Linked DNA regions of Arabidopsis thaliana. The protein of the gene in region 2 interacts with the protein of the main gene of each other region in a pairwise test. Each region holds a gene or a part of one and is shown on either strand. Other genes may lie near its edges.

The links.
Region 1: the proteins of NTL9 (region 2) and AAP3 interact in a two-hybrid assay, tested with the Arabidopsis thaliana proteins (one large-scale study listed by BioGRID).
Region 3: the proteins of NTL9 (region 2) and NPSN12 interact in a two-hybrid assay, tested with the Arabidopsis thaliana proteins (one large-scale study listed by BioGRID).
Region 4: the proteins of NTL9 (region 2) and CLC-A interact in a two-hybrid assay, tested with the Arabidopsis thaliana proteins (one large-scale study listed by BioGRID).

The regions. Positions count from the first base shown.
Region 1 is NC_003070.9:29,074,346-29,079,112, forward strand, and holds AAP3 (amino acid permease 3), read right to left. Parts: upstream 3,046-4,767; 5' UTR 2,908-3,045; coding exon 2,814-2,907; intron 2,664-2,813; coding exon 2,430-2,663; intron 2,346-2,429; coding exon 2,252-2,345; intron 2,146-2,251; coding exon 1,931-2,145; intron 1,838-1,930; coding exon 1,698-1,837; intron 1,607-1,697; coding exon 1,248-1,606; intron 1,151-1,247; coding exon 856-1,150; 3' UTR 534-855; downstream 1-533. Other genes in the region: AT1G77370 (Glutaredoxin family protein), read left to right, coding at 1-147, 242-297. UniProt on the Arabidopsis thaliana protein: Amino acid-proton symporter. Stereospecific transporter with a broad specificity for GABA, tryptophan and both neutral and basic amino acids. High affinity transport of cationic amino acids.
Region 2 is NC_003075.7:16,887,905-16,892,840, forward strand, and holds NTL9 (NAC transcription factor-like 9), read right to left. Parts: upstream 2,898-4,936; 5' UTR 2,841-2,897; coding exon 2,675-2,840; intron 2,557-2,674; coding exon 2,048-2,556; intron 1,972-2,047; coding exon 1,624-1,971; intron 1,472-1,623; coding exon 1,196-1,471; intron 1,102-1,195; coding exon 982-1,101; intron 816-981; coding exon 630-815; 3' UTR 501-629; downstream 1-500. Other genes in the region: HMGB5 (high mobility group B5), read right to left, coding at 65-151, 234-280. UniProt on the Arabidopsis thaliana protein: Transcriptional activator activated by proteolytic cleavage through regulated intramembrane proteolysis (RIP). Calmodulin-regulated transcriptional repressor. Binds several synthetic promoters with randomly selected binding sites.
Region 3 is NC_003070.9:17,808,441-17,813,762, forward strand, and holds NPSN12 (Putative plant snare 12), read right to left. Parts: upstream 3,667-5,322; 5' UTR 3,217-3,666; coding exon 3,140-3,216; exon of another isoform or gene 2,939-3,139; coding exon 2,846-2,938; intron 2,620-2,845; coding exon 2,526-2,619; intron 2,216-2,525; coding exon 2,178-2,215; intron 2,030-2,177; coding exon 1,929-2,029; intron 1,535-1,928; coding exon 1,455-1,534; intron 1,379-1,454; coding exon 1,322-1,378; intron 1,243-1,321; coding exon 1,150-1,242; intron 1,041-1,149; coding exon 966-1,040; intron 873-965; coding exon 783-872; 3' UTR 548-782; downstream 1-547. Other genes in the region: AT1G48230 (nodulin MtN21 /EamA-like transporter family protein), read left to right, coding at 30-164. UniProt on the Arabidopsis thaliana protein: Vesicle trafficking protein that functions in the secretory pathway.
Region 4 is NC_003076.8:16,380,781-16,387,096, forward strand, and holds CLC-A (chloride channel A), read right to left. Parts: upstream 4,645-6,316; 5' UTR 4,220-4,644; coding exon 4,041-4,219; intron 3,725-4,040; exon of another isoform or gene 3,351-3,724; coding exon 3,150-3,350; intron 3,058-3,149; coding exon 2,880-3,057; intron 2,782-2,879; coding exon 2,249-2,781; intron 2,175-2,248; coding exon 1,043-2,174; intron 970-1,042; coding exon 865-969; 3' UTR 536-864; downstream 1-535. Other genes in the region: AT5G40880 (WD-40 repeat family protein / zfwd3 protein (ZFWD3)), read left to right, coding at 12-425. UniProt on the Arabidopsis thaliana protein: Voltage-gated chloride channel that could play a role in the regulation of nitrate content.

The DNA.
Region 1 (4,767 bases), on a different chromosome or scaffold from region 2:
TGAGAATTGAACTGTTTCTTAAAACTTCTGAGAGATTTGTTTTTGCAGAGGACGGAGATCAAATCCAGTATGAGCTTTTAGAATTCGTTGGTCGTCGTACTGTCCCGCAAGTTTTTGTTAACGGCAAGCATATTGGTGGATCAGATGGTATGATGAGCTCACTATCTCCTCCAAGTTTCATTCTTTTGTCCAAATTTCCCTTGTAACTCACAAGCCTTGGCTGTTTATCTTGTTGCTTCAGATCTTGGAGCTGCTTTGGAGAGTGGTCAGTTGCAAAAGCTTCTTGCTGCAAGTTGATATTTGAGGACCTCGAATGTGGAATCTACAGTATGTGATTTACAGGAATTAGAAATCTTTGCTAGTTGTAGACTGAATAAGCGAATTGATATGTATGACTCAGTTATGTAAGTTATGATGGCATTGATAAAGTCTTGATCTTTTGTTACTGCACTGCTCTGGTGATTGTTTCGCTTAAATAATCCATACTTGTGTGCCTTAGTGAATGGTTCATACGGCAAATATCAGATCATGGAAAGAAGAGCAAGTACAAGAACTTGTTATTGAAATTTTACCACAATGGTAATATACTATTATGGTGCTAGTTCATGATTCTGTTGCAGCACATGACTCTGTCATTAATCGAAGATTTACTCATTAGGACTACAATTCTTGCCTTCAGGGTACAGAGAAGATTATAGAGAAGAACTAACAGCATTATTGCTTCTATCTATATAAAAAAAAGCTGATCAAAATTCCCAAATTCATGGTTCTTGGTTCTCTTGACTGTTCTTGATAAATCCATTGTGTTTAAAACTGACTTAGTCATCGCTTTGAATTGGCTACTATTCAAGTTGATCAGTATTCGCTTCGAAATGGCTTGTAGGACTTTAGATCAAGAAGTACTCCAGCTATGGACCCTGCAGCTGCAGCAATGCTAACTACTAGACACCCTAAGCTGAAGACTTGAAGGCAAACCCATCTGGTGCTCCATCTAGGTATCTTCTTCTGCGCGATGTACATTTCCACTGGAAAATACACCGTCAATGGCCAAAACCCTAGTGCCCCGAGCAGACCCACAACGTCGTTGAAAAACGGAAGAAGCATTGAGATAACTGTCGTTATGATCACAAACACTGTCCTCCATATCAACCTGAGTAAGCCATTCCACGCCACACAGAAGCTTTGATTATTACATACACATCATGTTTAAAACTCAGATCCCATTAGTTTAAAGGCAAGATTTGTACCTGAAGACATTCAAGCGGAGAGGCTTGAAACCAGGAATTGGAATTTTGATATCTTTTGCAATGAACTCACTATCAGGGAATTGAATGGAAGCTTGCTTCTCGATGAAAGCAAACAGAGGTTGGCAATAGACTTGGTATGCACCAATAAGGTGAATCACAATGGCTGCATTTGCAATGTCAAGAAGCCAATAAGGATTATAAAACCCGAAACCGGTTAAGAGATTTCCCGGAGACAAGTCTCCAAAGGCTGCATATCCCATACATCCACACAACATATAGAACATAGTCGTTACACTGACGCTCACAAGTGTTGCCTTCTTCATCGTCTTCTCTTCTGATGGTGGTGACTTCACTGTGTCCTGTTTCAGATCCCAGAATAAAAAAAGCTTCATGATGGGACCAGTAATTAATGGCTTTGATCATCAAGACTTGTAAAGAAGGTATAAGTACCTGAATCTCGATGAGGATAATGGAGTAAGAGTAAGCAAAAGCAATGTCTCCAAGAGCTTGAAAGGTCCTCCATATCTTCTGTGTCTCTGTTACTGCTCCTATGCTAATCCCAGTGAGACTTCCCTTCACCTTCCCATTAACTGATGAAACCAAAACACATAAAACCTATTAGTTTTTTACCTATGAAAGTTCTTATTTAAGACCCTAGAAGCTTTATGGTTCAAGAAACGAACCGACAACTTGGGCTATGCCGAGGGCGAGACCGGCTGAGGAATAAGTGAAGGACATAACGGCGGCGAGGATTGAGAGCCACCAAAGTTGATCAAAATCTGGAATCTGAGAGAATAGAATCTGGACTAATCCAAAAGCTATCATGTAAGGATTACTGTTCATGTGACATGGATCTTTCCCTCCACTCTTGTGGAAACAGTTTGATCTCTTTATTGCCCTGTTTTTCAAAAACAAAATTTTGTTTATTTTTTATTATCATCAAAACCTATTTGGTCCATTACCTAACTTCGTAGTTTTAAGAGTTAATTAGTGAGAACACTCACATCATGCTTATAGCTGAAGCAATTGTGTAGCCAATAGCAACACCAAAGATATTAAGATACTGAACAATCCCACATAGCGTCACCTTCACGCCACCTATACAGAACAATGAAAAATGTTAATGCTCTGTTCTGATCTGATCTCCATTGTCCGATTTCTACTTTGAAGTTTTGTATTTACCGAGATTTGATCGGACAGCATCCATATAAGTGTAGTTCCTCTTGCCGGAGATAGGGTCGCCGGAGCGGTAACAAGCAGCAAGAAGAGAAGAAGTGAAATAAGTGACGGCAGAGAAGAGCAACATCACCACCGGTCCGGCGAGCCAACCTAGCTGCGCCGTAGCCCACGCTAGTGACAAAACTCCCGAACCTATCACTGCCGTTATTATGTGTGCACTCGCCGTCCAAACACTCCCTAAAACCCAAAATTTAAAAACTTTCAACTTTCTCGTTTTTTCAACATAACTAAATCAGAGCAGGTTTCGAGTTCAAATTAATATTTTTTTGAATAATTAGAGAACCAAGTCTCAATATGAATTAAAGAGAAAGAGAGAAACATTGTTACCAGTTCTTTTGTTTTTCCCGTCGTCGTCCAAGTACTTGGAGCCGCCGGTTTGTGGCATATCGACGGCGAGAACTGTTTGGTGGTTTTGAACCATCTTTTGTTTGTTTTGCTCTGTTTTTTTGGTTCTTCGTTCAATCTATGAAGTTACATGCAGAGTAAGTGTTTGAAAGAGTTGATCTTTAGAAGGTAAGGGAAATGTTTAATGACTTTGTTAAAGAACTGTCTTGTGGATGAAGATAAACTGAGAGTGGAGTGCAGATTTATATACACAGAAACTGGTAAAAACACTCATTTGAGGCAAACACAGTAAAAGGTAAAAAGTGTATTAAAAAAAATATATCTGTCTTGGTAAAAAGTTGGTAGGACCACTATTACTCAAGTGTTACTATTGAAAAATTTGACTTCATGATTTATAATTTTATATGAATGATTCGATACCAATTGGATAAAAACAAAAGAAAAGAGAAAATATGGGCAATGGAAAATTGGAAGTCCAAGATGATACCATCGTTTTCATTTGGACTTAAAATGTCATTGTTCAGCTTTTTTGAAAGAAAAAAACAAACATTCATGTACGTGTGTGTTTGAAGCTTAGTGTTATTTTCACTTACAACTAGATTTTATTAGAGTATTTTATGAGATTAGAGAAAATAAAATGTTGTTTTAAAAATAATAGGCATTTTGGTTATATCATTTGATTATTTACGTATTTCGCTAATTTTAAATTTTATTAACCGTGGACAAACTAAATTTATTTAGAAAACAGCTTGGTTTTTTCTTGAATATTTCAATGTAAAGTGTTATCGCATTAAGATGTTAAAAGAACATTCATGGAATCATGACATATATATGGAGAAATCTATGCCGACTTTAAATAATGAGTACACGCAATCATGTGTAGATTTCAAAATGATAACTCAAAACCAAAAGGTGATTTTTATAGTATGAGCAATAGTAACGCACATATACTATATCTTACCTAGAATCCGAAAGTATATCACCCCACCATATAAGTTTCTGTAGGTAACTAACTTATGAGGCGTGTAAGCTATATGTTCTTCTCGAAATGAAATATTTTGATTACTTTGCCAACTAAACTCATTTAAACATAAATGACATACACAAACTTGTATTGGCTTGATTCGTGGGAAACCAAATATCCTTTAAGGACTTACGAGAAGATTTGTATTCAGACAAGTCATCATTCAAAGGAAATAGTCTCCAAATATAAAGGGAATTATATTCATAAAAATAGAATCTATATATACATTGTTGCAGTCATTTTGTGAAATAAATCCTGGAGTTGGAATTTATTTACAATGGCTACCATTGGCTTTTAATTATTGTTTTTTTAGCAATAAATTGATTAACAAATAAAAAAACATTCGAAATATATTCCAATCCCATATATCACGCAGATTTTTCCAAAATTTGAAATAGATTTCGACAACTATTTAAAACAAAAAATGTTTGACAACCCAAAAGACAATTGCAATCCCTTAAAATGAGCGAAACGCAACTAAATATATTTCTTATCTATTCACTAAATCTTATGTCTCCAAAATTTGAACTACATTTCGACAACTATTTAAAACAAAATTTTGTTTGACAAACTAAAACACAATTGCAATCCCGTAAAATATTTATTTTAATTATAAATTTAAATTAGCGGGGTACCGCGGTTTATTTTTACAGGACGAGTTTGGTGGAACGGGTTTAGAAGGACGTTACTTAATAACAATTATAAACTATAAAATAAAAATATTTTATAGATAGACATAATTTGTAAAATTTTATATATACTAATTTAAAAAAATAAATTGTCTCCGCGGTGTACCGCGGGTTAAAATCTAGTTCATTCTTTACAATTCCAAAGTTTATAACCGCAAAAATGCATACAAAATGTACCAGTTTTTTTATTTTTTTTTCCATGTTTACATTGAAAGATAATTAA
Region 2 (4,936 bases):
ATTAATTACTGTAATCAAATTAGTGAAGAAAAAAGAAGAAGAGAGATTAGTGATTTTTATTTACAGGAAGACGAAGAAAGGACTTGGTGGTTTCTTAGGCCTGTTTGGATCCTTTGTTTTCTTTCCAACTTTGTTCCCTCTAACTTTCAATCTGAGAATCATAAAAGACGATTTCAAAACTACGGAAACAAATTGAATCTAAGAATCGAGATTACGGATAAATATAAAGATACCTATCATCAGTGCTCCTCGATTCAACTTCCGTTTGGTTATCTTTCATCTCGAGATCTGTCACAGAGAGGAACAAAAGTGAGAATCCGGTGGGGAAAAATAGCTGACTCGGAGTTGACTCAGATGAGGCGGCGAGTAGGAGCGAGCTTACCTCTGTGTGAACACGTTTAGGTTATTTCTTTTTTTGAATTGGGGAGAGACGACGATTGAGATAATTCTTTGATGCGGTGTTAATTTAAGATGTTGGTATTTTTAATCTTGACCGTAGATAATTAAGATGTTGGTACATTTAATCTTGACCATCCGTGTAAATTCAACAGTAACTTTTATCAGATTCCTAAATAAGTTTTTAAGTTACAACACACAAACATGCTAACATTGCATCATCCCTAATTACATTAAACTACATTTGATTCTCTCTCTCTCTCTCTTTGTGTCTCATGTGTCATGAACTCACCAGTGTCCTCCATATACCCATCCCTACCCCAACCATCACAGCCACCATTACCGTTGCAACCACCTTCCATCGCTTCCCTCCTCGTCTCTTTCTGCTCTGCACCTGTACCTGTAACCACAACAAACTTCTCTTTAGACAAAGATACTTCTCAGTTTCTTTTATCATTACTAGCTGATCTCACATGCTCTACTGATTGCTTTCTCTTTTTTTTCTTTCTAATTCTATAGTATTTAGTAGAGCTTACTACTATACTCTTTCTTCATTCATGTGTAAACAAGTTCACTCATTCTTACCTCGTCGTCTGCAAATCTCTCTCCTTTTACTTGGCCTATAGTTCCCCGCGCCCTGAGCTTTATTTGAGGTTTAACCAAAGAACCACTCTTCTCTGAGTATTTAGCTGCAGCTTCTTTGGCCTGCACATCCCCACCATTAACAACAAATTAAAAAGATGCATCCTTTATGTTATTGATGTCTAAGACACAACTTTTGGAATCACTAGTCTCGTACCTCGGGAATAACAGTGTGTCCTTCATTCACCTCCTCTCGTTCTTTTACTTCAGAGTTAGACTGCAGCTGCAGACGGATTCTCCTTGGAGCAATACCCTGGTTTATCAATCCTGTACTCTGCCGGTTCTGAGGCTGTCGAGCCCGGATCTTTATCCCTCTCCCTTCTGTGAGGTTGTTCTCTGTGTTATGATTGATCATTTGCTCTTGCTGAACCAAATCACTATAGTATGAATTAGTGTCACTTGGCCAACCAGAAGCTCCACCTTCTGAACCATACTGATCAAACAAAAGATAAAAATTGTCATTTTACTTATGTCAAGAGTGATTGTAAAGATAACTGATCTAGAGGTTTCTAGCCTACTTAAAGCAAAATAATTTGGATACTTCTAAAATTGTATAGGCCTCAAAATATGTATCTTTGTGCTCACCTGCAATTGCGCCATCTCAGCATCTGTATCAGTGAAAGCCATGAAGTCGTTGAAGAAAGCATCCTCTGGTGCTGCAGACTGCAGCATTTTAGCAGATGAAAATATCCCATTTGGTGAGACTGCTGGATTCTCTCGACTGATCGATTCCTCGCAAGAGAAGTCATCAGGGTTATTGAACACCTCCTCCAACAATTCTGTTAGTGATACATCTGGTTCGCTGGTACCATCTTGAAATTGGAATCCAATCTCATCGTAACTGAAATCACCAGCATATATAGAATCCATACACGGTAGTGGTGCCTTTTGATCTTCAAGGTCACAAGATAACCAAAGATTCTCTTCAGGTGCCTATGAACACAAAACTCAAAATTAGTCAAGTCACTCAAAAAAGCCTAATTAATTATTCAAGAGTTTCCATTCATACCTCAATCATTGTCCCATCTGCGGTACTATTACTATGAGCATAACCGCATCCACCTGAATAATCTGATGGTTTCTCAACAGCAGCATCAGAGGAAGGTGTTTCTTGAACAAGATCAGATGATGTATCATCAGGTGAGTATTTGTTGCTGGCCGTAAAAGCTGCTTCATCGGACTTGACACCATTAACCCGATCATCAGGCTTGTGGAAGAGGCGACAAAGAACGTAAGGGCTTTGGCCAGGGGAAGTGCCATCAAGATCCTTAAGAGTGGGACGATACTCGTGCATAATCCAATTAGTCCGCTCACCTTTAGGAGCTCGTCCACGATAGAAGACAAGAGTCTTCTTCATACCGATTAAAGTCTTCTTAGACTTGATGCTACGATCTTTACCAGTAGCTTTCCAATAGCCAGAGTCAGTTGCTCTGTTAGAGCGATGACCATTAGGGTATTTCCGATCACGAGGGCAGAAAAAGAACCACTCTGGATCATCCGTCTTAATCACCGAGAGAGCTGCCGACAATCAGATTTGTTTCCAATTGAGTAAAGAAAAAAAAGGTGGAATCTTTGAGAGGGAAAACAGAATCTGAGAATAAAAGGAATCAAATTTTGAGAGAATAAAGAGACGAACCAGGAAGATCCCAAGGTTCCCATTTGCAGACATCGATATCAGGGATGACACGGACATCGGAGTGACGTCCGTTGATCTTGAGACGGAGGTAGTGATTGACGAGCTCTTCATCGGTAGGTCTGAATCTGAAACCTAAAGGAAGCGACTCCATCGATACAGCACCCATAATCCTCTTCTTTAGGGTTTCTTTCCGACTTTGAATACACTCTCTGCTTTTTTTTCTGCTTTCTAAAAAGTCTTCAACACTTTGCTTTCTCTCATCTTCTTTTTTTTTTCCCTCTTTTTTTTTAACCTTTCTTTAGACCACGTGAGAAAGATAACTTCCACTTTAAACACTTGTCCTCTTCTGTCTTATTGTCTTGTCTTGTCTTTTCTTGATAGGCTTCCATTATTGTGGCTAGGGCCCAAAAAGGCCTTAAAGCCCAAAGCTTCGTGGTTTTTCTTCTCTTGTGGTTTAGGCTTTACAGTGATCAGAGAAACCCAAAACACGTTGGAAACGTCTAAGCAGAGAAAAACAGAGCTTCCAACAAATTCAGCATTGTAATTCTTCTAGACGTTTTATACAAATTTTACATATACACTATGGAACTCTCCTTGCATTTCTACCAAATCTGAATTGAAAAAGGGATTTGTAAGATATGAAAATGCGATAACGTTGCCTAGATTAATCAGTTTTCGACATTTTTTTTTTCCTGTTCCGATTCCATGTAACTTTTTGAGGGCCACAACTTTTCTTAATTAAAAAAATAAGAAAAATAAAAGCTCAAGTGACAATCAGTTTTTGAAAATGATACTAACTAAGCTCTTAACATTTTTACGCATGTATATAAACATTAATCTTTTATTTGGTCTTAAATACAAAGCATATATATGATGCTATCAATCTAAATGGTCTATTTGTACATAATTAAATAAAACATAAAATTAAAGCCTGCGCATACAACATGTCTACAACCAAAAACTTCTTTCGTTTATATCAAAATCAACATCCCAATACTTCATCTTCTCTTCTCTTCTATTTGGCACTTATAGACGCGAAAGGTTTGAACCGGCGGGAAAGTAAGACACCATAATCGGAGCTCTCGGGGATTTGCTTTTTGGTTTCTTTGAGGACAGGACTTTCAAGTCACTCTCATCAGTTGAGCTAATCTTTGAGTCTGATTTTGGAACAAAGCAATCAAAGACGGAGGCAAAGAGAGAACACATGATCATAGGAGTTTGAAAAACGTGTTTGGAGTCTATATACGATGAATGATATGATTAAGATTTGATCTCAGGTAATTACGTGAACGATATGTATTTATAAGACAACCCATCTTTATAAATTCTTGGACACGTTTCTAGGAAATGACCACTAAATCTTGCTGGCCAAGCTTTGCCCTATTCTTAATTGTTTTCTCTTTTGACAACACTTGGGCACCTTTTTTGACTCTTTGGGCCTAATTGGACCAACTATTGATACCAAACATACGTTAACATCACCTCCATATCACTCACCCAATCAAGTTTTCCAAAATGTTATGATTAAAATTAGGGTCTTCATGTCACTATCCAACAAAAGTTTTCCAAAATTCAACATTAAAATTAGGGGAAATATGTACGAAATAGAACTTATATATCCATGTTAAGAAGAAAAAAAACTATATATCCAAGCAATACAAAATATTTAGGTTCTACACTCCATTTTATACAAAATATTAATTGTTTTCGATTAGAGTTTTATTAGAAAGTTCTCACTCAGATAAAATCAAAACTAGTACTCTGTATTTTTATATAGAGAAAAATCCTTGTAAGTTAATGTTACTAATACTACCCAAGTACCCAGAGTATTTTGACACATTCTATTGACTTTTGATTGAAACATGTCCGGCTTAATTTAACGCAATTATTCAGTTTAGATTTTGAACACCTTAAATGAATTGGCTTTTAACAGATCATAATATCAATACCAGTTTTAGTCCTTGAGAACTCAGCCCATGACTTAAAATATGAAAACTTCAGCCCATGACTTAATAAATGAACAAAGAGAACCCAAAAACAGAAAATGAATCATGGACATATTTACATATATCATAATCTGACCAAATTGGAAATTATGCTCAAATGCTTAATATTCCTCTGATTCATTTACCAAATTCAACCTCTGTAGAATCATTCTAAACAAAATTCAATTACCACTTTTCAGACATGCGTCGCGCGTGTGAGTGTTTAGCTACATGGGCTTGGTTCGGTGCAACCCGCTTCCCACTGTTAATTTTACAT
Region 3 (5,322 bases), on a different chromosome or scaffold from region 2:
ATAAGGATTTGGTCCAAATAATTGAGCAGGACTGGAAGGAGAAGAATTCGTCAGATGGGGGGAGCCCCAGAGGATTGGAGCTTAACGATGAAGAAGCCCCTCTGATAACGTCGCGGTTGTCGCATATTGGCCGGACTCAGCTTGGAAACCACACGGCAGTCTGAGAATGACCGTTATGTTGTTTCACTTCTCAGGTGAAAATGTCTTTTATCTCTTTTGGAACCCAAACAGTTTTAAATAGAATTTACCTCGGATTACTTAACATTGTTAGTTCTACAAAAAAAAGAAACGCAAAATTATTTGTAGGGTCTCTGAAAGTTATAAATGTTTTCACTAGACAGCGTAGCTCCGGACCCGGCCTTGGTCTACTCTTTATGATCCAAACAGTTCTGACTTCTGAGTGTGTGGCCCTGTATTTGATATTTTCCCTTTCTATATTAGCTGGAAATACTATAAATTTTGTTTAACTGATTTTACAAATTTGTGGATCATTATAATGTTCAAAAAACTAAGGGTAGAACATATCTATTACTATAATATGATTACCACTGGCTCCTTAGATGTCTTGGACAATAAAACGGATCTTATAAAATATATTGAACTTGGTATAAAATTATACAACATGTGGTCATAAGTTAAAGAATGATGATATATGATACAAAACTCTAATGAAAGCTCAAATTTAAATGACATAAACAAGCCCTCTTTCATGAAAGAATGAACACACACGCAACAGCAAGTGTAATATGCACCAAACCTTCCCTCTCGGCCCTGCCAAAAGGCTATTCTCTGAAGTACAAGAGCTTTCTCGATTGCGCTGGAGGAGCTAGTCCAGGGATGTCTCTGATGTCTTTGTTGTTTGGGTTCACGATCTGTGTTTTTATTTAAGCAGTGTTAAAACTTGCTTAAGGAATCATAGCTTTATTTGGGCCGTAATGAGAAAAGTTGGAGAGTGCAATGGTTACCTTCACAATGATTATAGCTATAACACCACAGACAATCAGAAACAGGAACGCCATTATGCATTTATCTGTAGCTACCTGTGACAAGAAAGAATTGAGGTTGAAAGGAAACGGTGATAATAGTTAGACACAATTTTAGCTTTTGCAGTGTCTTAGAATCTTATGTCCTGTGAGAGATCATACAAACCTGTCTTCCTATCTCTTTCACCAGCTGCGAAGCTTTCTTAAGAGAGAACTGAATTGTGTCTAGGTCGTTTACAACGCGGCCCATTTGATCCGTCTGAAAATATTTAGGTCAGCATATTTGGAACTACACCTGATAAGAATATCGAGAAGAGATGGTGAATGCTTTGTGTTACCTGTCCCTTTAAGTTAGATGCAGTTTGAGTGCCAACTTCGAGTGTCTGATGCACAACCTGGAAAGAAACACTGGATGTTACTAGAGACATAGCATCAAAGACTGAGTGAGATATACTTCTTTCTGTAACTTACCTGTTTAGAACGTTCAATAGCCTGGTCAGTCTCGTCCATCCTTTTCATTCCAGCATCGACAAGCTCTTGGTTTGACATTGCTACATATATATAAACGATAAAACAAGAGTCAACATAAAGTTCCACACTTTTTCCACAGGATAGTTCAAGGACAATTATTCTTGGAACACATGTAGATATTAGAAATCCAGCCACATATGATCCTCCACTAGAAATTTACTAACATCAAACCACCAACATAAACACATTAAAAGGTAAAGTAGGTAAACAGTTACTGTCATATATGTCTCTCCACTAGAAACTTACTGAAACACATCAAATGATACCAAACCATTAGCCAAAAGTGCAGGACTAACTATCCTACCCATTCTGATATATAGAAAACAGTTTAAGCTTCCAATGTGTCAAATTTTGGACTTTTTCTGGTTGCAGAAGAAAATCAACTGAATAGATGACATATTTAGACAGACTCACTTGAAGCCATTTGGACGTTTTCTTCAGCTGTGGGTTCACCGCTGACTCCAGCTCCAGTATCAAAAAGTTCAACTTTCTTGTTGCCGAGTGTATTCAAGTACCTGAAGTCACACAACAAATGGGAATGTATTAACACATACCGATCTATATCTCTATATAAAAAAACATACATTTGCTAAAAGGATTGGTATATGAGAAAATCAAATATAGGGACAGACAATGAAGCTCCTTGGAAGTAGACGTACTTACGTTTTTCTTAGTGCAACATAAGAGTTGAGTTCCTTAATCTGTCACATAAATCACTGGAAATATCAACAAGCAGATTTTGAAAAGACATAACAACCAGATGCTAGCGAGAAATTAAGGTAGATAAATCGAGAGATTCACACAAAAACACTCAGAATCTACATTGATATACCACTGAATCAACATGCTTTTCGATGGTGACCCAAAACTCAAGTGAGGCGAGAAAGCTGAACTTTATATTCCAATACTAACTTCAGAAATATCACACTAACACGAAGCTTAAAAAGTATCATGTCCTCCATAGATTTCATCAACACACAGATTATTATAAGTAATAAGAAGTAAACTCACCATAGATTGTTTCTCATCATTCAATTGCTTATTTACTTGAGGAGAATTTCGAGCTTCCCCATCTTTGAGTTCACGATCAAACTCCTTAACCAACCTAACGTGAAGCGCAGAGATTTAAAAATCGTTGATCACCAAAAAAAACTCTTTCCTACTCATGATTACACATCTCATCCATCTCAAATAATACATTTTCCCACAATGCAAAAACATAATCACCAATAGACTTACAACATTTTAGTTCTCATGAAAAATTCAATCCCTCATCTAACACCGGAAAGTTCGAGTAGTAAAAAAACTGATATCTTGGAGAAAGTGAATACCTTTTACAGTCTCTCATCTTCTCAGCAAGTTCTTCGAGTTGCTTGCTTTGTCTACTAGAATCCTTGATCTTATCCAACCTCTGGAAGCCATTCCTGCATATCAATGTTGAATCTCACTTTTAAAGAAAAAAATCATAAGACTTGTGCCTCAGATTCACTATCCCAACTCTTATTTTCTCGTCTGTGAAACTCAAATTCAATCTCCTAACAAATCTAGTTCCCAAAAAATCTATAGTCTTGTCGATAACGTACACTCGAATGAAAAATTGAAGAGATAGTTAAGAGAAAGCATACGCGAGGGCTCGGAAATGGTCACGGATTTCTCCGTGAATCTGCTCCAAATGAGGGCTCATCGGCAATTCAGACGCCATATCTGCCGGATTATTTCAGGCTCCGGCGATTGAAAAGACAAAACCCTAAGAGCAAACCCAGAAATCCTTCCCCCTCAAAAAAAAAAAACTTTTTCACCGCATCAAAATCATTCCCAAAGACTGAAAAGAAAAACCCTAATTTGGAAGAGAAGAAACTGATAAAAATGGAAAAAGATCGGAGAACGAAAACGCGGCAGAGCTTAAGCTCTCATCGAACGGAAAAAAGGAAAGAGAGAATTGAAGTTCAGTGCGAGGCTAATCTCGTAATTATTTGCTTATTTGAAAAAGTATAATATTAGTTTGATTATTAAAAAAAACAGAGAGATTTGACAGCGAAGCTCCACCATGTTTTAGATCATATATAGCCGTTTGAAGAAAAAAACTGAAAATGTCGTCCACATTGTGCTACACTCTGTCCCTATAGGACCTACGCAACTTTTCTATAAGCCATATTTCAAATATTTCCGGTTATTTTTGACATCTTAATATATATATGACAGTTAAAAACAAGCAGATTAAAAATATTTATTTTTAAAAAGTTCAACCAATCATAATAAAGACTACAGAATATAAATATTAAATAAAATATTAAAATAATATATAATTTTTGGGAAAAATGTTATTTAATACCTCAACTAACAAAAAATGGCCAAATTAACCGTGAACTCGTGAAATGGCCGTTTTAACTCTCAACAAAAAGTTGACTTCTGTTTTAACCTTTAAGTTTGCGTTGACTCGGCCTAATTAACCACCGTTAAAAATCCTTCTAACAGCGTAATTGACAGCCGTTATAGAACATCCGTTAAGGTGATACGACGACGTTTTGTGCTATCAATACGACGACGTTTTGTGCTATCAATAGAACATCCGTTAAGGTGATACGACGATCATTTCGAGCTGCCTCTACTCTATCATCATCTTCATCGTCAGAGGACAAAGGATCTGGAATCTTGTCTTCATCCCATATATCATCTCCGCCGTCATTGTCACTAGCTTCTTCTTCTCCATTAGCCTCTGGAAAATCTCTTTCCATGTCTAAGTTACCATCTTCTTCGACACCTAATCCAGCAGTATCATCTTCTTCTCTATTAGTATCTACTGCATCATCAACCTCATCGCAGTCTTCATCTCCTTGGACTGCACAGTCATCGTCTTCATCAAGAGCAGGAACTTCAGCCTCTAAATCCTCCTCTTCTTCATCTCTGATTCTCCTTCGTTTACTTCGTCTAAGTGGAGCACGAACTTCAACGCCTGATTCAATGTGAGCTTCCTCGTGAGCTTCCTCTTCTCCGCCACAAGACGTTTCACCTAAAGCTTCCTCTTCCTCTTGTCCAATTTCACGACGAGTTGATTCTTCAACTGCAACATCAGCTTCCTCTTCCAATCTATTTTGCCTTCGTTTACTTCGCCTAAGTGGAGAACAAACTGCGGTTGCATTTCCCACATCAACGGACTGACCTCGAGCTTCTTCTCCAATTTGATTTGCTTCTCCTTCCGGCATTGGTTCAACTGCATCGTGAGCTTCTTCTTCCAATCTGATTTGCCTTCGTTTACTTCGCCTAAGTGGAGAACGAACTTCGGCCACATCTGCCACATCAACATTTGATACTACATTCGCTTGACCTCGAGCTTCTTCTCCAATTCGATCTGCTTCTCCTTCCGGCGTTGCTTTAGCTGCATCTTGTGCTCCCTCTTCTCCGCCACAAGACTCAGATACCACATTCGTTTCACCCACAACTTCTTCTCCAATTTCATCTCTTTCTCCTCGCGGTAGTGCTTCAACTCCATCTCCCACCAAATTCTCTGATTCGTGAAGCATTGGAGATCCAATCATCATAACGACGCCATTCTTTCTAACTAATGGCATTTCAGAAAACGAATTGAAGCAATTAGGGTTTCGATTTTGATTTTGGGGGCAGGATTAGGTTTCGATTTGGGTTTAGGGTAATTGATTTTGTTTTGAGAAATTATATTCTCGATTTTGATTTCTCTTTAGCACGAAAACGGCGTCGTAAGACTATAGTAACAGATGCTTAACGGACTAAAACGGCTGTCAATTACGCTGTTAGAAGGATTTTTAACGGTGGTTAATTAGGCCGAGTCAAC
Region 4 (6,316 bases), on a different chromosome or scaffold from region 2:
TGTGGTTCTAGGTGTGGGATCTCAACACCTTGCAATGTAGAATGACCCTGAAGCAACATATCGGCACTGTCACTTCACTCTTATGTTGGGACAAGTGTCTGATATCGTCTTCCTTGGATGGGACCATAAAACTTTGGGCTTGTTCTGAAAATGAAAGTTTGAAAGTTGTTCAAACTCGCAAACAAGAACTGAGTGTTCATACTCTCTGTGGAATGCACGATGCAGAGGCCAAACCGATCATGTTTTGCTCTTACCAAAATGGAGCAGTTGGCATTTTCGACCTACCATCTTTTGAAGAAAGAGGAAAGATGTTCTCTACGCAGACGATCTGCACACTTACAATTGGTCCTGGAGGATTGTTATTCAGTGGAGACAAGAGTGGGAACTTGCGTGTATGGAGCTTAGCTTCTGGCACCAAAGTTTAGTCGTTTTAACAATTTTCGACTATTGATTTTCATTTAATTTGTACATATACATTGGTGGTTGATTCTAAATCCTTGCATTAATGTAATAACTTTTAATGTTGCCAAGATAAAAGAAAGTAATATTTTCATATCCGTTCTCTCATAGAAAGATGTTTATTTAACACAATTCCTTAAAAGATTTGTGAACTCCATGGAAGCTTCAAAGTTTTGTTCTGTATTCAAATTTCTTATTCTTCTTCTTTTGAAACTGAAAACGTGGGGAAAAAAAAGGAGATTTACAAGTAGAAAACACAAATCTACCAAATGGTATAATTTGTTTTTGGTCTTGAAGGAAGAATGCAAGCAAAACTGGACAGAATATATATCAACTAAGAATGTGGAAAGACACACGAATCACACAAACCAAATAATAGTGAACGCTCTTTGCATTTTGGCTTATTCATCTAGCTTTTCCACTTTTGTGTTTATCCAAGTGAGGAAATGCTTGTAGAATGTTATAAGCCCTGAGATCTTGCCTTGTTAAGATCCCTATCACAGGTGACATCTGCAACAACACAAGACACACGTTTAGTAGTGTTCTTGAATCTTGAATCAAGAGAGTAAAAAAGCAAACTTACCCCTGAAGCTTGAATCTTGGGAACCACCAGTAAATGTCTGAGACCCACTGACCGGAACAGAACCAAAGCTTTAGCCACTGACATACTTTGCACCACTGTGTAAGGTGTAGTGTTGGTCAAAGGATGAAGATCAACATACAATTGCATCTCTGAGCTTGTGATTGCAACATCATCGAAGTTATCTTCTCTCTCAGCTAATTCAACCGGTGTGAACTTTTCCCTAACTTCCCACTCTTCTGTTCTCCTTTTCTCATTCAAGAACCATCTCTTTTTCAGAACTTTCACAAGGTGAGCTCTTAGGATCAGACCATGGAGCTCTGTGCCAGTGTTTTGATCTGCTCCATCCAAGACTGGGAATGCGTTATGCGTTGTGTTCCTTAGTACATCGACTATATTTGCCACTTTTTCTACTCCGTTAAGTGTTACAACCGGAGGCTTAGCGTCGTTAAGCTCACCTACAGTGAGATTCCTCATCCACGGCTCTGGATTTGCTTCCAAGAAAGGTAAGCCCTTAAGATGGAGAATGATCTCGTAGATACTTAGATTGAAGCTGTCACCTACTGTTTTAGCTATCAGAAGCACAAACATTGTAATGGGCAACAAAAGAAGGTTGTTGGTGAGTTCCAGAAATATAACACAGAGTGAAACAGTCATTCTCATTGAACCAGCCATGAGTGAAGCTGCACCAAGAACCGCGTAAAGCCCTTGATCTATGTTTGTGTAAGACCCCATTGCTGTGCCTAGCATCCTACCGTATGCAGAACCCATGAGGATAATCGGTAGGAAGAGACCCGACGGTGTCGCTATACCGAATGTTATAAGACCCAAAATGCAGTAGAGGCCAAAGAATATCCAGAGAGAAACCATGCCAAACTCATTAGGAGTGTTTGAAGAGAAAATGTTTCTGACTGCATCATCATTGGTTGTGAGAAGCAGAGTGGATAGATCGTTGTAATAACCATTTGGACAGTTGAATTGCTTGAAATTTCCTGATCTTCCGTTTGTTGGACATATCTCGTCTATAGAAGGATCACAAGGCTTGCATTCCGCTAAGAAAGGAAGACCGAACAAGCAAACTGATGTGAATAGAGATACCCCAAGACTTAGAAGCACCTTATGAATCTTTCCCTTCCTACACCAAAATTTACCAAACAATGTTAAGTAAAAAGAAATCTTTAAGACTCTTGAACGTTCATAAACACTTACTGGTTGATGAGATTGTAAAGCCGGAGAACTTTATGCAGAAGATGATTGTACAAGCTTCCAAGAATGCCACCAAAGACTCCAATCAATGTGACTGGGATTATATCTGCTGCGTGGTACCTAACCTCTACATGACTCACATCGAACATAATGAGTCCTCCTGAGCCGAAAAGTCCGCATTTCCCGGAGTTACAAATCTCAATGAACGCTCTTAATACAACCACCACAACGGCTGTACTGAAGAATGTTCTCCACAAGAGAGCGCTTCTCCACCACGTAGCGACTTCCTCAAGAGCGAAAAGTACTCCTCCTACTGGTGACCTGAAAGCAGCACATACTCCAGAGGCAGATCCACATGTAATAAGATCTCTTCGATCTCTATCGTTGTTGAAGTAACGAAGCCATCTCCATTTGATTCTGTGATTATCTGGACCACCTTGACCAAGCAAAGAAGCTATGCAACTTCCAATATGAACCAATGGCCCTTCTTTACCAAGATCAAGTCCAGCTGCAACCGCTCCAATACTTCCAACAATCTAATCGGAAAAAAACCGCAAAATCCATCAGTAAAACAAAAGATCTCACACTAACTTTGTGGGAAGCTTCAAACTTTGTGAAGGTTTAAGAAACAAACCTTAACCATCATGGTGGTAAAACCAAACATATTGGGAGTGTCAATGCCATTAAGGTAAGCTTTAATCTCAGGGATCCCCGGACCAGCCGCCGTAGGAGCAAAGTAAACAACAAGTACTGTCGCCACCAAAGTCAGACCCAAATTCGCCCCCGTAAAGACCATCAGACCTGTCCAAAACCTATTTCAAAAACATAAACTTGTCATACAAGGTATCTCAATTTCTTGATCTTGACTGTTTTGTTTTTCAAGATTTGGCTGATGAGTCAATACCTATCTTGAGCAATGTAGTAGCCGACGGCGAGAAGTTTGTAACCGGCGATGTTTTCGACAGCAAGGTTGATGAGAGTAGCGATAAGACCAGTGAAGAGACCAACAAGACAAGCTAATGTCCATTTTAAGAATATGTATTGAAACACTTGTGCTTTTGATCTGCTTCTCCAGTCATGCTTGAACAGATCATTCTCGTTTATTCTGCAGAAATCCAAAATCTCAAATCAAAAATCTATACAAGTATATGTCTCCATCACTGATTATTTTCCACCAAGTTTAAGAAAAAAAAATATATGAAGATTGTCTGAAAACAGAGTAAAGATAAATAAACGTTATAGAAAGAGATTTGAGACCAAGACTTATCATACAACTAATAAACAAAAGGTAACCTAATTATCTGGATCTTGTACAAGATTTGGTTTATGATTGCTTGCGGCAAATTGAAAATGTGAGAAATAATTGAAGTATCACAACAGGTCATATGTCTCCATCACTAATATTTTCATTCTTCTTGTCAAAATTATCTCTAATATTTTCATAATTTATGTTCTGAAAATCAGGATAAAGATTTAAAAATTTATAGAAAGAGATTGAGACAAATAATCCATTCAATTTTATTTCTTTCTAAAATGAAAATTAGCTGAAAAAATAGTAAGATTGAAACTTTACAAAAAAAAAAGATAATGACAAACTCAATAAACCATCAGAAAGTGAAGATTTATCTGGAAACAGAGTAAAGCTCAAAACTTTATAGAATAAGGTTTTTTTTTTGTCACTCTTTATAGAACAAGATTAAGACTCATCCAAAAAACAATTCAAGAAAAGTAAAATTCGATATGAAAACAGAATAAGAATCAAATAATCAAGATCTAGAAGATAAAGAAGACATACTCATAATCTAAACTCTCGATGTGTGAAACCTTGGCACCGACCAAAGCAAGAGGAGTTGAAGAAAGAGTTCTATGTCTCTTAAGCAGTGGTTGATTCAAAGTGTTGTTCTCTGGATCTTCTCCTTCTTCTTCTCCATTGTAATTACTATTACTAATCTGCAAGTTTCCATCTTCATCCATCGATAGCTGTCTCTCTAATGATCCAAGAAACAATAAATAGGACCACTCCGAAAATTTATGAAAAGAAGAAGAAGAAGAACAAAAGTAGATTTTGGTTAGATCTTCAAGAGCTTTCTATCTATCTCTCTGTTACAAAACTACTTTTGGTTTGGATTTTCTCTGCGAATTTTGTCGTTTTTTCTAGAGAAACACTTTTATGAAGCTTTATAGATCTCTCTCTACATATGATACATGCATGCATCAATATACACCATTATATGTATGGTGATACAAACATAACATTTAATTTAAATGTTATTTGTTGTGAGGAGGAGTCACAGTGGGTGGATGGGTACCATATGCTATTCTCACTAAAGATAAGACAATCATTGGTCTATATTATATTGCCTACTTAAATAATATAACCTAAAATAAAGGTTGTCATCAAAAAAAAAAAAAAAAAACCTAAAATGAAGGCATGATATGTGTGTTTGTGTAGGCATCTACTATTCTCTAGCTATGTTTCAATCTGAATAGTGAATACAGTATATAGTTTTGAAATCCATTGTTGGTTTTGAAGTTAGAAGGAAGAAAGTTATAATTCTGTATACAAACCCTATATTAGTTTATTTATTCTTATCAATATTTTTAGTCCATTTTGTTGTGTGTACAAATCTACTTTGTCTTTAGCTATATACATACTTTTGTTTTACTCGTTTTTCATGTATATTAATACCCAAAATAAATTTGAAATTAGTTTGTGATTTTGACGTAGTTGAACAACGACGAATTTTTTTATATTGAAATAATTCTTATCCACTAAGGATATAACCCTTTTTGTGTGTGTAGAAATCGACTATTATCTAGCTATTAATTTGTACTCAATTTTTTTATTTCTTTCATTACAAATCAATATGTGATTTTGACGTAAAGTTGAAGAGGGAAAGAAAAATGATTTACATAAACATTAAGGTAACTTTTAAGAATTTTTGTGGCAGACATAAAATGTTTTACGTCGATAGTTCCAAAATCTTTGGGCGCATAGTGCAACTTGTATAATTTGGTTTCATAATAGGGTTTCTTGAAAAGTACTGTCAAAAATGCATATGTGGAAGTCCAAAAATACTACTCCATATCCCAAATTTCTCTAAGTAATAGTCCCTAACAACTATTAATATCACAATTAGTTATTTATTAATTTATCAAATACATAATTATTTTAAAATAGACATTTTAAATATTTTCATGAATTTCTTGCACAGACCAACGCTCTCCATACTTTTCCGTTTTGGATCGACAAAGACGGTTGCATGTGGATCTCTAAGGCATTGACAAATCTTTTCTGTTTTCATGTATAAAACTAATGATATTCAAACATTGTCCATAAAAAACATTACTCATAGAATACTCTACAATTTGCACTAGGGGACATAAACAAAATTTGTTTCGGTTGCTTGTGTACACATGGTAGATCACAATAATAATCTTCTTTTTAATTCCTTCATTTTTCATTATACATCACACATTACCTGAATAAGTAGCTTCTATCTTTTTTATTCTCCCATGTACTTTTTTCATATATCATTTCATCCGTTTTCATATAAATATCGATTCAAACTTTTTACTTAACTTTTAAAAATATGGAAAGAAGAAATCAAATATCAACATTTAAATAAGATTTTGTAATTATTTTTCTTCTAATTCATATAATTCATTCTTGATTCTTCATTGATCAGCCATTTGCCCATTTGGTTGCGTACTGGCCAAGTGACTATATCTCTCTTCTGTTAAATTGGTGACTTGTGTCAAATGACAACTCAGCCACTAGGTCTGACAGATCAGCAAAAACCTTTGTAACCAATAAGTATGAACATGTGTAATCTTACACATTCGTTCGATAATTCCAAGATCCAACGATCAAAAGAATTCCGACCCTTGAGGTCATCGAACAGCCCTTTTTAAATTTTCTCTTGTACGAGTATTTATCTCTAATCATTTATTCTCCAAACACGTGATTTATATATTCCGGACCCTAGAAACGTCCAATTGGAGAAATATATTTGACCACATAAACGTAGATATAATTAATCTTTAACATTATACGATGTTTTGTGTACT